Linked DNA regions of Saccharomyces cerevisiae S288C. Changing the gene in region 1 together with any one later gene gives a genetic interaction. Each region holds a gene or a part of one and is shown in the gene's direction. Other genes may lie near its edges.

Evidence for each region.
Region 2: mutations in TAD1 (region 1) and YFL064C together harm fitness more than expected from each alone (negative genetic interaction), as found in Saccharomyces cerevisiae (one large-scale study listed by BioGRID).

What each region holds. Positions count from the first base shown.
Region 1 is NC_001139.9:41,415-47,225, forward strand, and holds TAD1 (tRNA-specific adenosine deaminase), read left to right. Parts: upstream 1-1,892; coding exon 1,893-3,095; downstream 3,096-5,811. Other genes in the region: RTF1 (RNA polymerase-associated protein), read left to right, coding at 84-1,760; ankyrin repeat-containing protein ANK1, read right to left, coding at 3,238-3,783; karyopherin KAP114, read left to right, coding at 4,031-5,811. UniProt on the Saccharomyces cerevisiae protein: Deaminates adenosine-37 to inosine in tRNA-Ala.
Region 2 is NC_001138.5:1,876-12,767, reverse strand, and holds YFL064C (uncharacterized protein), read left to right. Parts: upstream 1-8,921; coding exon 8,922-9,446; downstream 9,447-10,892. Other genes in the region: pyridoxine biosynthesis protein SNZ3, read right to left, coding at 509-1,405; SNO3 (putative pyridoxal 5'-phosphate synthase), read left to right, coding at 1,799-2,467; DDI3 (cyanamide hydratase), read right to left, coding at 2,546-3,223; COS4 (Cos4p), read right to left, coding at 5,203-6,342; YFL065C (uncharacterized protein), read left to right, coding at 9,430-9,738; YFL066C (Y' element ATP-dependent helicase), read left to right, coding at 10,153-10,892.

The sequences.
Region 1 (5,811 bases):
AAATATTCAAAGTTACAAAAGGTACTTGAAGGATACCAAAGTTTGTAATTGTATTGCACTAATTTGTTGAGAGCACTATAGAAATGTCTGATTTAGATGAGGATTTATTAGCCTTGGCTGGTGCCGATGAATCCGAAGAAGAAGATCAAGTTTTGACAACTACATCTGCCAAAAGGGCAAAAAACAACGACCAATCTCTTTCCAAGAAAAGGAGAATTGAAGTCGGCAGTGTAGAGGATGATGATGAGGAGGACGATTATAACCCTTACTCTGTAGGAAATGCAGACTACGGTTCCGAAGAAGAAGAAGAAGCTAATCCTTTTCCCTTGGAAGGAAAGTACAAGGATGAGAGCGACAGAGAGCACCTGGAATCCTTACCTGAAATGGAACGTGAGACTCTATTATTTGAAAGATCTCAAATCATGCAGAAGTACCAGGAGAGGAAACTTTTTAGAGCACGTGGAAGAGATATGAAGGAACAACAACAGAGAGCCAAGAACGACGAAGATTCCAGAAAGACCAGAGCTTCCACTAGATCAACCCATGCTACTGGGCATTCTGATATCAAGGCTTCAAAACTTTCGCAATTAAAGAAACAAAGAGCGAGGAAAAACCGTCACTACAGCGATAATGAAGACGAAGACGATGAGGAAGATTACAGGGAAGAAGACTACAAGGACGATGAAGGGAGTGAATACGGGGATGATGAAGAATACAATCCTTTTGATAGAAGGGATACATACGACAAAAGAGAAGAAGTGGAGTGGGCTGAAGAGGAGGACGAGCAAGACAGAGAGCCTGAGATTTCTGATTTCAACAAACTAAGGATCGGTCGTTCATTTGTCGCAAAATTTTGTTTTTATCCCGGGTTTGAAGATGCAGTCAAAGGTTGTTATGGGAGAGTCAATGTTGGCACAGATAAACGTACCGGCAAAACTTCTTACCGTATGGTGAGAATTGAGAGAGTTTTCTTGCAAAAACCTTACAATATGGGTAAGTTCTATACTAACCAGTATTTCGGTGTTACCCAAGGTAAAGACAGAAAGGTTTTTCAAATGAATTATTTTAGTGATGGTTTGTTTGCCGAAGACGAATACCAAAGGTATCTCAGGGCATTGGATAATTCGCAAATGATTAAACCTTCTTTACATTCTTTGAGTAACAAAACGAAAGAGGTTATGGATTTTGTCAATACACCATTGACTGATAAAACTACAGATGAGGTTGTTCGCCATAGGATGCAATTCAATAAAAAACTATCTGGTACGAATGCAGTCTTGGAGAAAACTGTATTGAGAGAAAAATTGCAATATGCCAAGGAGACTAATAATGAAAAGGACATTGCAAAATACTCTGCTCAGTTAAGAAACTTTGAGAAACGAATGTCTGTATACGAGAAGCATCATGAAAATGACCAATCTGACATTAAAAAACTAGGCGAGTTGACCTCTAAGAATAGAAAATTGAATATGAGTAACATCAGAAATGCAGAGCATGTGAAAAAAGAAGACAGTAATAACTTTGATTCAAAGAGCGATCCTTTCAGCAGGCTAAAAACCAGGACCAAAGTTTACTATCAGGAGATACAAAAGGAAGAAAACGCAAAAGCTAAAGAAATTGCACAACAAGAGAAGCTACAAGAAGATAAAGATGCTAAAGATAAGCGTGAGAAAGAGCTACTTGTGGCACAATTCAGGCGCCTTGGTGGGTTGGAGCGCATGGTTGGTGAATTGGATATCAAATTTGACCTTAAGTTTTAGTAGGCAGGACAATTTCAGTGTTTGTAAAAATATATTTATATTTATATATTTAAATATACTAAATAAAAATAATACTATCATCGTTGTGATGCAAAAAAAAAAAAAAATGAACAGAAAATAATAGTGATGTGAATGGTTTCGTGCCAAGGAACAAGGCCATGCATAGTAAACCTTCTCACTATGCCAAGTGAGGATAAATTGGGTGAAGAGATATCAACGAGGGTGATTAATGAGTATTCAAAACTAAAATCTGCCTGCAGACCAATAATTAGGCCTTCAGGTATCAGAGAGTGGACAATATTGGCAGGTGTTGCAGCTATTAACAGAGATGGCGGTGCGAATAAGATAGAGATACTTTCCATAGCTACTGGTGTGAAGGCTTTGCCAGATTCAGAACTACAAAGAAGTGAGGGGAAGATTCTGCATGACTGTCATGCAGAAATACTGGCATTACGAGGTGCTAATACAGTTTTATTAAACCGTATTCAAAACTATAATCCATCAAGTGGTGATAAATTCATTCAACATAATGACGAGATACCTGCCAGATTCAATTTAAAGGAAAACTGGGAGTTGGCATTGTACATCTCGAGATTGCCCTGTGGTGATGCCAGCATGAGTTTCCTGAATGATAATTGCAAAAATGATGATTTCATCAAAATAGAAGATAGCGACGAATTTCAATACGTCGACCGTAGTGTGAAAACAATATTGAGGGGACGCTTGAATTTCAATAGAAGAAATGTCGTTAGGACTAAACCAGGAAGATATGATTCCAATATCACTTTATCTAAATCCTGTTCTGATAAATTATTAATGAAACAACGGTCGTCGGTACTGAATTGTTTAAATTATGAACTCTTTGAAAAACCTGTATTTTTAAAGTACATTGTGATTCCTAATTTAGAAGATGAAACGAAACATCATCTAGAGCAATCATTTCACACTCGTCTACCGAATCTAGATAATGAAATTAAATTCCTGAATTGCCTCAAACCATTTTATGATGATAAATTGGATGAGGAGGATGTTCCTGGTCTAATGTGTAGTGTCAAGCTCTTTATGGATGACTTTAGCACCGAAGAAGCGATTCTTAATGGCGTGAGGAATGGATTTTATACCAAATCATCGAAACCACTGAGGAAACACTGTCAATCGCAAGTAAGCCGGTTTGCACAATGGGAACTATTCAAAAAAATAAGACCAGAGTATGAAGGAATAAGCTATTTGGAATTTAAATCTCGTCAAAAAAAGAGAAGCCAGTTAATTATCGCAATAAAGAACATTTTATCTCCCGATGGTTGGATACCCACCAGAACGGATGATGTGAAGTAATATATATATATATTGTTGAATATGCGTATATGCACACTTTTTTGTTAGTGCACCTTAAAGAAATATATACACAGTAGAAATATCTATATATCCAGAGTTCATCTATCTTTCCCTCTCTGTGGTATTATCATCACATATTTTATCATTTTTTATCATCTTCTTCGTCATCGTCAGATGGACCATCATCTATCATTTCCCCATCCTCATTGTTATCACCTGATCCATTGGTACTATCAATCGCTAACTCGGCACCCTGCAAAAGGTCAATTAATTCATCCAGTTCATCACCATGAACCAAATCAACTGGCTTTTGATTGTTATAGTTTCTCACCCTAGGATCCGCACCCACTTCAATTAAGTTTCTAGCAATAAAAGTTCCATGCTCAGGCTCCTCTTGACTGTATCTGACAGTAACATGTAACGGAGTGTCGCCATCAACGTCGTTTTGTGGGTCTATTTCGATTTCACCGTCTTGATCGAGAATCTTGTCGAGAACTTCCCAGGATCCATACTTACAACATAAATGTAACGCTGTATTCCCCAGTGGTTCTTTGGATTCGTTAATTAGCTTTGCAATCTTCTCAGGATCATTATCTAAGCTATCAAATACGGTCTCCAAAAGATCCAGATTGTTTCTTCTAGCTGCATCCAGCAATTGTTCACTTAAAGAAGCACCTTCAGTATTCATGATCAAAAAAAGAAACTAATTTATTTTGTGAAAAACTTCGACTTCTTTCACTTATGACTTTTTTCACTGGGATTCAGAAACTACCTCACAGGACCCCTATATAATGAATTTATTGTCAACCTTTCTATCAACGCGTTATACCTTGGGTATACTAGGAAAAAAAAAAAAAGATACATATGGATGTATATGACCTGCATACACGATCCGAAAATCTTGAACGTAATTGTAACACTATCAACACATTAAAATGGATATTAATGAATTGATAATAGGTGCTCAATCAGCTGATAAACACACTAGAGAAGTTGCGGAAACGCAATTGTTACAGTGGTGTGATTCCGATGCATCTCAAGTGTTTAAAGCGCTGGCAAACGTTGCCTTACAGCACGAAGCTTCTCTAGAATCGAGACAGTTTGCTTTATTGTCGTTAAGAAAATTGATCACCATGTATTGGAGTCCAGGATTTGAATCATACCGTTCTACATCGAACGTCGAAATAGATGTTAAAGATTTTATCCGAGAAGTGCTACTGAAATTATGCTTAAATGACAATGAAAATACCAAAATAAAAAATGGTGCATCTTACTGTATTGTTCAGATATCTGCGGTTGATTTTCCTGATCAATGGCCGCAGCTTTTAACAGTTATTTATGATGCTATCTCTCATCAGCATTCATTAAATGCGATGTCTTTATTGAATGAAATTTACGATGATGTCGTATCTGAAGAAATGTTCTTTGAAGGCGGAATTGGCTTGGCGACAATGGAGATCGTTTTCAAAGTACTCAATACAGAAACTTCTACTTTGATAGCCAAAATTGCTGCTTTGAAGCTACTTAAAGCATGTCTTCTACAAATGAGCTCCCATAATGAGTATGATGAGGCGTCACGAAAAAGTTTTGTCTCCCAATGTTTAGCTACTTCTTTACAGATATTGGGACAATTGTTGACTTTGAATTTTGGAAACGTAGATGTTATTTCTCAGTTGAAATTTAAATCCATTATATACGAGAATTTGGTTTTTATTAAAAATGATTTCTCTAGAAAGCATTTCTCAAGTGAATTACAAAAACAGTTCAAAATAATGGCAATCCAAGATCTGGAAAACGTTACCCATATAAATGCAAATGTCGAAACTACTGAAAGTGAACCCCTTTTAGAAACAGTTCATGATTGTTCTATTTATATTGTAGAATTTTTGACTAGTGTTTGCACTTTGCAATTTAGTGTTGAAGAGATGAACAAAATTATAACATCTTTAACCATTCTTTGTCAGCTAAGTTCTGAGACAAGAGAGATATGGACAAGCGATTTCAATACATTTGTATCGAAGGAAACAGGCCTAGCAGCATCATATAATGTTAGAGATCAAGCCAATGAATTTTTTACTTCATTACCCAATCCTCAACTTTCCCTAATTTTCAAAGTTGTTTCCAACGATATAGAACACAGCACGTGTAATTATTCAACTTTAGAATCTTTACTATATCTCTTACAGTGTATTTTGCTTAATGATGATGAGATAACTGGTGAAAATATCGATCAATCTTTGCAAATTTTAATAAAAACGTTAGAAAATATCTTAGTATCACAAGAAATACCAGAATTAATATTGGCGCGTGCAATTTTGACTATTCCCAGAGTACTAGACAAATTTATAGATGCATTACCTGATATCAAACCCTTGACATCTGCATTCTTGGCAAAAAGTCTTAATTTGGCGCTAAAATCTGATAAAGAGCTCATTAAATCCGCAACATTAATAGCATTTACGTACTATTGTTATTTTGCCGAACTAGATTCAGTCCTTGGACCAGAGGTCTGCTCAGAAACCCAGGAAAAAGTAATTCGAATAATCAACCAGGTTAGTAGTGATGCCGAAGAGGACACTAATGGGGCTTTAATGGAAGTATTAAGTCAAGTCATTAGCTACAATCCGAAAGAACCTCATTCAAGAAAGGAAATTTTACAGGCTGAATTTCATCTTGTGTTCACGATCTCATCCGAGGATCCAGCAAATGTACAGGT
Region 2 (10,892 bases), on another chromosome or scaffold:
ATAACAGCACCATTTTCATAATCTGAATAAGTAATATTTCAAGCCTTCTGCTAGTTGAATAATTCGTATATTTCATAGTTCATGAGCCGTTCAATTGGAACTGTACTCATTGCATCATAGCCAAAAACCGATAAATGCATTAATGTTGTCACCTCCAGGTGATTTGCTGTCTTTATGCACTAACGCGCCAATCTCGTCCCCCTAAAAAATTAAGCCGACTCATCGCCTAATAGCATATAATAATCTTCCTCGAAAAGAATATACATGCATATTTGTAAACACATATATATATACGTAAACATACATATGTATATACGTGAACGATTGTGCCCTTTAGGCAAGGCCAATGTGAAAGACTGATAGGATGAAAAAGTTTTAACGTTTAATTCTCATATATACAAACTGGCTGAATATGGTTTCCATGTTGTGCTACATAATATATAGAAACTACAATAGCCGACTGCCCCTTCGAAGGAAACAAATTAGCGTTGTGTGAGCATCGCTAGTTCTACCATCCGATTTCAGAAAGTCTTGCACCGTTTTTGCCTCCTGCTTCATTAATTGATTGGATGGAAATACCACCCATCAAGTCACCCAAATCGCTGGAAACTTGCAATAGTTTTGCTGGGTTATCGTAGTGAGTCGTGGCTTCAACGATAGCACATGCTAACTTCTCAGGATCTGACGATTTGAATATACCTGAGCCGACGAAAACACCTTCACAACCCAATTGCATCAATAGAGCAGCGTCTGCTGGAGTAGCAACTCCACCAGCAGCAAAATTGACTACAGGTAGCTTTCCCTCTGATAGTGTTGTCTTCAGCAAGTCGACAGGGACGCGTAATTCTGTGGCCTTAGCTGCAAAATCGGATTCGGTCTTCAAATTCTCTTTATACTGCTGGATCTCCGCCTTAATCTTGGTGATGTGCTTGACGGCCTCGGAAACGTCACCGGTACCTGCTTCACCTTTGGTACGGATCATTGCAGCACCTTCGTTTATTCTTCTCAAAGCCTCACCTAGATCCTTGGCACCGCAAACAAATGGCACCTTGAAGTTATGCTTCTCAATGTGATGTGTCCAATCAGCTGGAGTCAAAACCTCACTTTCGTCAATGTAGTCTACTTGCAGCTCTTCCAGGATCTGTGCCTCCACGAAGTGTCCAATACGGACCTTTGCCATCACCGGAATTGAAACAGCTTCCATAATTTCTTTGATCATGCGAGGATCTGACATACGGCATACTTGGCCAGACTTGCGCATGTCAGCTGGAATGCGTTCCAATGCCATTACAGCACAAGCGCCCGCTCTTTCTGCGATAATAGCCTGTTCAGGTGTGACGACGTCCATAATCACACCGCCCTTTAACATTTGGGCAAGCCCAGTTTTAACCTTGAATTCTGACATTTTTGTCTTTTTTACGATATACTTATTTTTCTATTATAGTTCCTTTCCCAGAAGGGTCGAATAATAATGTGACTATGGTGGAGAAACATACTAGTTTTATATATGTGTGTGTGTGTGTGTGAAATTCATTCCACATGAACAAATAATTCTGCTCTTTCCTTGCCACAACATTTTGCCATTCAAACGATATAATGTGCCTACTACTGTTATGCCATTGGGCGGCGCGTCACTTTATTGGAAACTGTAAGAATAGTTGAGCCATCTTTCATCATTCAGCTACAAAAAAAAAAAAAAGTTATTCATTGATAAAAGCCCATTTTTTTCTGTTTGAGTAGCAAGCACACTTACCATGACCCTGGTTGCTGGGGCCAAGACAAGAGTAATATCTCAAAAATGACCGTCGTTATCGGAGTCTTGGCATTACAGGGTGCGTTCATTGAACATGTGCGACACGTAGAAAAATGCATCGTCGAAAACAGGGATTTCTATGAAAAAAAACTATCTGTGATGACAGTGAAGGATAAAAATCAACTAGCTCAATGTGATGCATTGATCATACCTGGGGGAGAGTCGACTGCAATGTCCCTTATTGCAGAAAGAACAGGATTTTACGACGATCTCTACGCATTCGTACACAACCCAAGCAAGGTAACCTGGGGTACTTGTGCAGGTTTGATTTATATTTCACAACAATTATCTAACGAAGCAAAACTGGTCAAGACGCTGAATTTACTAAAGGTTAAAGTAAAAAGAAATGCATTTGGGAGACAAGCTCAGTCTTCTACCCGGATTTGCGACTTTTCAAACTTTATTCCTCACTGCAATGATTTTCCTGCTACTTTTATAAGAGCCCCAGTAATAGAAGAGGTGCTGGATCCTGAACATGTGCAGGTCCTGTACAAATTAGATGGGAAGGATAATGGTGGTCAAGAACTAATTGTTGCCGCTAAGCAAAAAAACAATATTCTTGCGACATCATTTCATCCGGAATTGGCAGAAAACGATATACGGTTTCACGACTGGTTCATCAGAGAATTTGTTCTTAAAAACTACAGTAAATAAAAGGGACGTATAGTATAGTTATGGAGAAAGGAGATCATCACTGTTCATTCTGAACTCGCCTCATTGAAACTTACCTATTTAGTTATACCCAAATGTATTGCATATGACTTTCTTTGAAAAATCATCACCCAAAGAACTGGTGTGGCCCCACGGTTTTCTCGAGTTTTCAGTGTCCACCACCGTAGCAAAACATGATAACCAGTGCAGTCTTGGAAATTGCTCGTTAATGGCACTAACTGTATCGATATGAATCAGATCGGTATTGGATCCGACATTGTCAAGCGTAGTAGCAATCTGCAGAATGAGCCCCAAGGTGGTAATGTAGCCAGTCCCAGTCAAATCCTGGTGACGAATGATGGCCTCAGTTACTGCATCTGCATAGTCCTGATTTCCACCTGTCGCATTAAATACAAGCTCCCTTGAAAGTATGCCACCATAATACTCAAATGACATCTTCGTGGCTCTCATATTCTTATCTGTTGTTGCAATATCATGAAGTAAGCAGGTGACGTACAAAACTTCCTGATCCAAGTCCCATGCTGGAAATTGGTCTCTTATGATAGCTACACTATATTGAAAAACACGCAAAGAGTGGTTTAGAACGGGGGCAGTCAATTCTTTAGCGGCATATTCCCGAACAAGCCTAGCAGTTTCACTGTTTGGAGGCGGAACAACGGCCCGTGGTCTAGGTGCATTCACCACTGGAATGGCCTTTTCTACCTCTCTAGGAACTCTTACAAATCCGTACTGTGACATGATTGATTCTTTTGAAGAGAAGCAAGGCAAAAAACAGTACGAAGCAACTTCATGTTAACAGAAGAAGAAGGAAACTAACCCATTTATATATAATTTTATGAGGGGACCGATCCTAAAAAGTTATTTGTAAAGCTCGTACAAGATTGATTGATGACTTCCCGACAAACTATTGTGCGGTGGAGTATTTTGTATTATAGAAATGATAGTGTCCATGCACTTTAATAAGATCTTTTTTGCGGACATTTGTTTCGGGGCCGTCCAAAGTTGTTTGATGGTATAACTCCGCATATTTGACATCTTTCTCTTTTAAACCAGTATCAGTTAGTCTTTTGCAATTTTCTTGAGGGATTCAGTCTAGAAAGTTGATTTTCATTGCTGTTAAGATAAAAATTCCTTCTAACCCAGCTTGTACTCCGTATACTTTCAATGCTCTCAAAAAGATATGGATACTAGTTAGTTTAGACCCTGTAGTTTCACCAGCTGCTAGTATTCAACGTTCATGCGACTTCTATAAAGGAGTGCTTGGCTTTGATGTTACAACATTCGGGAACTATCGCAGGGCTCTGTCTTTTTTTGGAGTCAGAAAAATCAATTTGCATGAGGTGGGAAAGGAATTTGAGCCCAAGGCACAGAAGCCAACTCTCGGATCTGTCGATCTGTGTTTTATCTTAGAGGATCCTTTGAATAACAGTTACCCATCTTGAAAGCTTGGATTTTCCAATTGAAGAGGGCACTGTAATCCGTACAGGCGCAGTCAACCCTATTATCAGTATACATCCGTGATTAAGATGAAAGTGTGATGGAAATATCAAATAGAATAAAAGAAACGGAATAGAGCTATTTTTTTTTTATATTATAGACATAGTCTAAGCGAGTTTAACCTTTGAAATATAAAAAAAAAAAACAAAAGGAAAAAAGTAGTATGTGGGCTGCACTAAACTAAAACCGTGAGGTATTTAGATATATATTCTACATTGTTTTACGTTATAGCATGTATAAACATACAAATACATACTGTGAGATGATTGTGGTATGACACAGTGTGTAATAGAGGAAGTGAAGAATGCCAAGAGCAGTTTTTTTATCTATTTTCTGCGAATTTTCTTATGTCGGAAGTTATTCTCGGATAATATGCGGCTGCGCTAAAAATAGTTTATCGCATGCGTAAATCAGGGACCAATTTATAATGCTATAATGGACGTCGCAGTGCAGGAACTACTTGATTTTTTTTTTTTTTTTTAATTTTTTTCTTTCTATAGCTAGTCACACAGCCATTACCACCCAAAATTAAACTGTTTTATGTATGTTTAGTCACCAAATTATCAAAAGAGCATGATTTTTCTCCTGAGCACTTCAAAATGAAATTTGAAATCTTACCAAGCCCTCAATATAAACCAATATTTCAAGAAAGCTAGAGACATTGCAAATATTTTGCTCATTCAAACATATAGCTAAGGCAAAGGGATACTAAAACTCAGCAACTTGATGAAAGTTCGAAAATAACTGGCAGTGTATCTATAAAAGCTTCACTGTGGGAATGCAGTGTCCATCCAGTATTCAGCACAGGTTTTCCTAAGCCTTCTGTACATCCCTTCATTTAACAGTAAATGTGGAAAACAAGAAGGGTAATTGTGAAAGAGTCCGATTGTAGTTGATGAACAGTAAAATCACTTATTATTTAAGGATTCCGCTGCGGTATGCGTTTTCTACTGATGCGTGGAGCAAGCCACGCCATGTGATTAACCTTGCTTGATAAAAACACCAACCCATCGTTCAGAATATGCATGGAATACAGCATCTCTAGGAGGAGAAAGACAATAAGTTTTGCGCATATGGTAGGATGATAGCACACTGATTTCTGTCAACCAGTGAGAAATAGGGAAAAAGAGAATGGTTGTAATCGTAAAAAGTAGTCTCGTTTTGGTTATTCGCAGCTGACAAACTACAAAATATATAAATTGAAAAAGTTGTATTTATCTTTACGCTAAGGACTCCTCACTGCAGGATAATTGCGCTTCTTTAATATATGGCCATAGTTCCACATTCAATGATAGAGCCCGCATAGATTTCTTCGCAGATAGAACGCGGTAGAAGAAGTGGCTAAAAAACCATTCACAGTCAATCCCGTCAAAGAAAAACTCTTCATTCTTCCAGACTTTTTTCTCAAACAAGTACCTATTCATTTTCCTTGCAATTTCGTCCCATCCATTCGCACCACTTTCTTGCTCATTTATAATAGTCGACAAGAACTGCATCTTGTGTTCCATGCTCATAATCAAAACCCTTATATTTTGGAAACCTTGTACCAACATGAAAAGAATCCACCCGAGATACAAGGTGCGTAATAGAAGGCACATTCCCCGTGACACATATATGCAGCACAAAAAATTAAGGAATGGTATCAACATAAAAATATTGGAAATCCTCTTTAAAAACCAAGTAAGCTTAAATCGGTAAGCTTCCTTGGGAAGTTTAGCATCTTCCAGGCCAACAGGGCTCCATGATTTCTCAGAATTAAACAACTTCCATTGTTTTTCAACTTCTCTAAAATAAACTCCCAATGCTTCTTCAATGTAAGGGACGGAATCCTTAAATGACTTAACCTTGGCAGCTTCGTCTTTTTTCAAAGAGAAGGGTTCGAGAAGGGTTGTTCTGAACGCTTCTTGGCAGCCCATGGCATTGAAGAAAAAGTACCTAATATTCCAAGCCTTATTTTCATATAAGTACGAATTTAGATTTGCTGCAACAACTTCCCAATCATGAGGATCCGAACTTGGTGTGCTTTTAGTAATCTCTTTGCAAAACTGAGTGAGTTGTTTCGATAAGGAACGTTTACGAGAAAGTCTAAAAATAACAAGAACAAATACTGGTCCCCAAAACAGGACAAGAAGTGAAACCATAAGCGGGTAAATCCAATTGTTGGAAAGCTTCCACCAGACGCTAAGTGGTAGCCATAATAGCATCCAGATGCGAAACGCTAAGGACTTGTAAATTTCATAACAAAACCAGGTAAAGCTGCTTCTGAAAAGATCTTGAGGTAGAACAATCTTTTGAGATTCGAGCTGTTTGAAAGATAATACATCTACACTTTTCTCATTTTTAAGTTCATTTTCTTTCATTTTCGGTAATGAGATGGCAGTTCGAGGGGTTTTTTATTCGAGATAGTAACTTCTGGCTTTTCGCTTTTATAGAGTAGAAAAAAAAGCCGCCGAGGCGCGCGCGTTCATGCAATGGCTCAGTAACCTCGTGATAGAAAAAGGGCAACAATGTTGGGCTATTTTAGGCACAGAAACTCTACTATTCGAAAAGGGAGTCCATTTCATTTCCGGTTTTCTATCTAAGTTACTCGATAATCGTAATAATACTTTTACAAAGCTTTGTATGAGGGTACATCACGGTGTGCCGTAACTTTGGTTTACATTTAAGGTGCGACCAGCAATGTCACTGTTCGCACAGCAGTTGTTACCCAAAATGAAACGTATATTTTAAGCGTAGATTGCCTGTGACAAAAATGTGTAAATATCTAATAGAAAATAGACGTAGCTGTCACAAATATTTACACAGGAAAGAGTCTGTCCTACGAGTATCTTACATGAAGATTCATAGAACCAATTTATTTCCCTATATTGATAACCTTTCAATACCATTTTTTCTCCTTATGTTTGATGTCACTGTAAAAAGGCTCAAAGCAAAACTTAGAGGTACGGTGGTGCTAAGATCATGCATGACCTCTGGGTAATTACTACTTCTCCCGCTTGCTTTGAGATTCTGTATATAAATGTTTCAAACAAAAGGATAGAGCACGGATGGGAGGCCTTATAGTAAAAATTATTCGTTTTAATCATGCGTCAGTGTGCGATTCTATGACAATAGTATGAGAAGATAGGGTGAAGTAAAAGCGTCTGTATGACTATAGAGTACAGTTATATTACAATATATGGAATAGAGCATAGTGGTATGACGGTATTAAGGAACATTTAAGTTAATGACCTCATGGTGGTATTGATACGCAATTGAGTGTGTTTATGTATTATTGTTGAAGGATAGAATATTTTTATGTTTAGGTGATTTTAGTGGTGATTTTTTTGTAATATTGGCATAAGTGTATATAAATTGAGTGGTTAGTATACGGTGAAAAAGAGGTATAACGTATGTATTAAGGGCATTTATACAATATTTGGGGCCGCGGAATAAGATATAAATATTAAAATGTGGATAATAGTGGGAGTTATGCGTAAATGGCACAGGGTATAGACCGCTGAGGCAAGTGCCGTGCATAATGATGTGGGTGCATTTGTACTCATGAAGTGAGAGATGGGCCATGGAGTGGAATGTGAAAGTAGGGTAAGTTGAGATAGTATATACTATTGTAGCATCCGTGTGCGTATGCCGTATCAGTATACAAGTGATGGTGAGTATGACAGATGGGGCATGGTAGGGTATTGGCAGGGTAAGTATGTGTGCATTGTTTACGATCATTTGTTAACGTTTCAATATGGAGGGTAGAACAACAGTACAGTGAGTAGGACATGGTGGATGGTAGGGTAATGGCAGGGTAAGTGGCAGTGAGGTTGGATATGGGTAATTGGAGGGTAACTGTTATGGTGGATTTGTGGGTTGGTGGTGGGGAGGCAGGGTAACGAGTGGGGAGGCAGGGTAATGGAGGGTAAGTTGAGAGACAGGATGGAAGGGTTGGATTAGGGTAGGGTTGAGGTAGTATTAGGGTGTGGGTGTGGTGTGTGGGTGTGGGTGTGGTGGGTGTGGTGTGGGTGTGGTGTGGTGTGGGTGTGGTGTGTGGGTGTGGTGTGGGTGTGGTGTGTGGGTGTGGGTGTGTGGGTGTGGTGTGTGTGGGTGTGTGGGTATATATATGTCACTGTATTGCATGCTGGATGGTGTTAGACAAGGCCGTAGGGACATATAGCATCTAGGAAGTAACCTTGTACGAAAATAGGCAATATTTCCTGTTTAGGCGATTGGGACGCAGATTTTAGTCCAACGATCTAGCGTCAAGGAATTTTTTTATAGTGGGACATTGCACCAAGGAAGTAACTTGATACGTCGTGGGTGAATGGGTCTGTTTTCTTATTCGGCGGGGTAATACATTTTTGGGGGAAGTTTGTCTGTCTGACGCGCCATATGTAGGTACGCCAAAAAGGGCTCCTCTACTTCGAAGCGCGAGGTCGTATACCTAATAAGGAAATGTAATTTATAACTTTCTATTATATTGGTCTTTTCGAGAGCGGAAGAAGTTGTAGGCTAAGCGCAGGCTAAGCGTAGGTCCATGTTTGAAGTATCCAAGAGAATATCCACGAATCCTGGTTCTCCTCGACTAAGCAGATAGTTAAGATACTGTGCACCATGGAAATTGAAAACGAAAGTGCGTACCGACTACTTTATTTTTGCAGGCCGGAAATCAAGCGATGAATGAGACATCCTTCTGTTTTCTATGTTGTGCTTGAAGGGGACAGACAGTCGCTTATCTTAGTGAGATTTCTTATTAACTGAATTTTCTTTGCTGCTGCTGGAGATTTGCACCTGCATAGCGCAGATTCTGCATCTTCTCAATAGCTTAATTATTACATTCTTAGATGATGATAAGACGGAAACTGGACAATCTTTTGTTTATATTGATGGATTTCTTGTCAAAAAGCATAACAATCAACATACTATTGTTAATTTCGAAACTTACAAAAATAAAATGAAAGTTTCCGATAGGCGTAAGTTTGAAAAAGCAAACTTTGACGAGTTTGAGTCGGCTCTAAATAACAAAAACGACTTGGTACATTGTCCCTCAATAACTTTATTTGAATCGATCCCCACGGAAGTGCGGTCATTCTACGAAGACGAAAAGTCTGGCCTAATCAAAGTGGTAAAATTCAGAACTGGTGCAATGAATAGGAAAAGGTCTTTTGAAAAAATTGTCATTTCCGTCATGGTCGGGAAAAATGTACAAAAGTTCCTGACATTTGTTGAAGACGAACCAGATTTCCAGGGCGGACCAATCCCTTCAAAGTATCTTATTCCCAAGAAAATCAACTTGATGGTCTACACGTTGTTTCAAGTGCATACTTTGAAATTCAATAGAAAGGATTACGATACCCTTTCTCTTTTTTACCTCAACAGAGGATACTATAATGAGTTGAGTTTTCCGTGTCCTGGAACGTTGTCACGAAATAGCGAGTGCCAGGCCGAACGACAGCTCTACGATGCGTACTTTCACTGACTTTGTTTCTGGCGCACCTATTGTAAGGAGTCTTCAGAAAAGCACCATAAGGAAATATGGGTACAATTTGGCACCCCACATGTTTTTGTTACTACACGTAGATGAGCTATCGATTTTTTCTGCATACCAAGCAAGTTTACCTGGCGAAAAGAAAGTCGACACAGAGCGGCTGAAGCGTGATCTATGCCCACGTAAACCCATTGAGATAAAGTACTTTTCACAGATATGTAACGATATGATGAACAAAAAGGACCGATTGGGTGATGTTTTGCGTGTGTGCTGCCCAAGTTGAGAAGAGATACTAACAAAATGACCGCGGCTCTCAAAAATAATTGACGAGCTTACGGTGATACGCTTACCGTTATCCAGAGCTACAGCGCAACGTATACGTCGACGATACAACAAGAACGGTTCATCGGAGCCTCGACTAAAGACGCTTGACGGACTCACTTCCGAGCGCTGGATTCAATGGTTAGGCCTTGAAAGCGACTACCATTGTTCATTCTCTAGTACTCGGAATGCGGAAGACGTAGTGGCAGGTGAGGCGGCGAGTTCAGATCATGATCAAAAAATTTCAAGAGTAACGCGAAAAAGGCCCCGAGAGCCCAAGAGTACAAACGATATCCTCGTCGCAGGCCAGAAACTCTTTGGCAGCTCCTTTGAATTCAGGGACTTGCATCAGTTGCGCTTATGTCATGAAATATACATGGCAGACACACCCTCTGTGGCAGTACAGGCCCCACCGGGCTATGGTAAGACGGAGTTATTTCATCTCCCCTTGATAGCACTGGCGTCTAAGGGCGACGTGAAATATGTGTCGTTTCTGTTTGTACCGTACACAGTGTTGCTTGCTAATTGCATGATCAGGTTGGGCCGACGCGGTTGCTTGAATGTGGCCCCTGTAAGAAACTTTATTGAAGAAGGTTACGATGGCGTTACTGATTTATACGTGGGGATCTACGATGATCTTGCTAGCACTAATTTCACAGACAGGATAGCTGCGTGGGAGAATATTGTTGAGTGCACCTTTAGGACCAACAACGTAAAATTGGGTTACCTCATTGTAGATGAGTTTCACAACTTTGAAACGGAGGTCTACCGGCAGTCGCAATTTGGGGGCATAACTAACCTTGATTTTGACGCTTTTGAGAAAGCAATCTTTTTGAGCGGCACAGCCCCTGAGGCTGTAGCTGATGCTGCGTTGCAGCGTATTGGGCTTACGGGACTGGCCAAGAAGTCGATGGACATCAACGAGCTCAAACGGTCGGAAGATCTCAGCAGAGGTCTATCCAGCTATCCAACACGGATGTTTAATCTAATCAAGGAGAAATCCGAGGTGCCTTTAGGGCATGTTCATAAAATTTGGAAGAAAGTGGAATCACAGCCCGAAGAAGCACTGAAGCTTCTTTTAGCCCTCTTTGAAATTGAACCAGAGTCGAAGGCCAT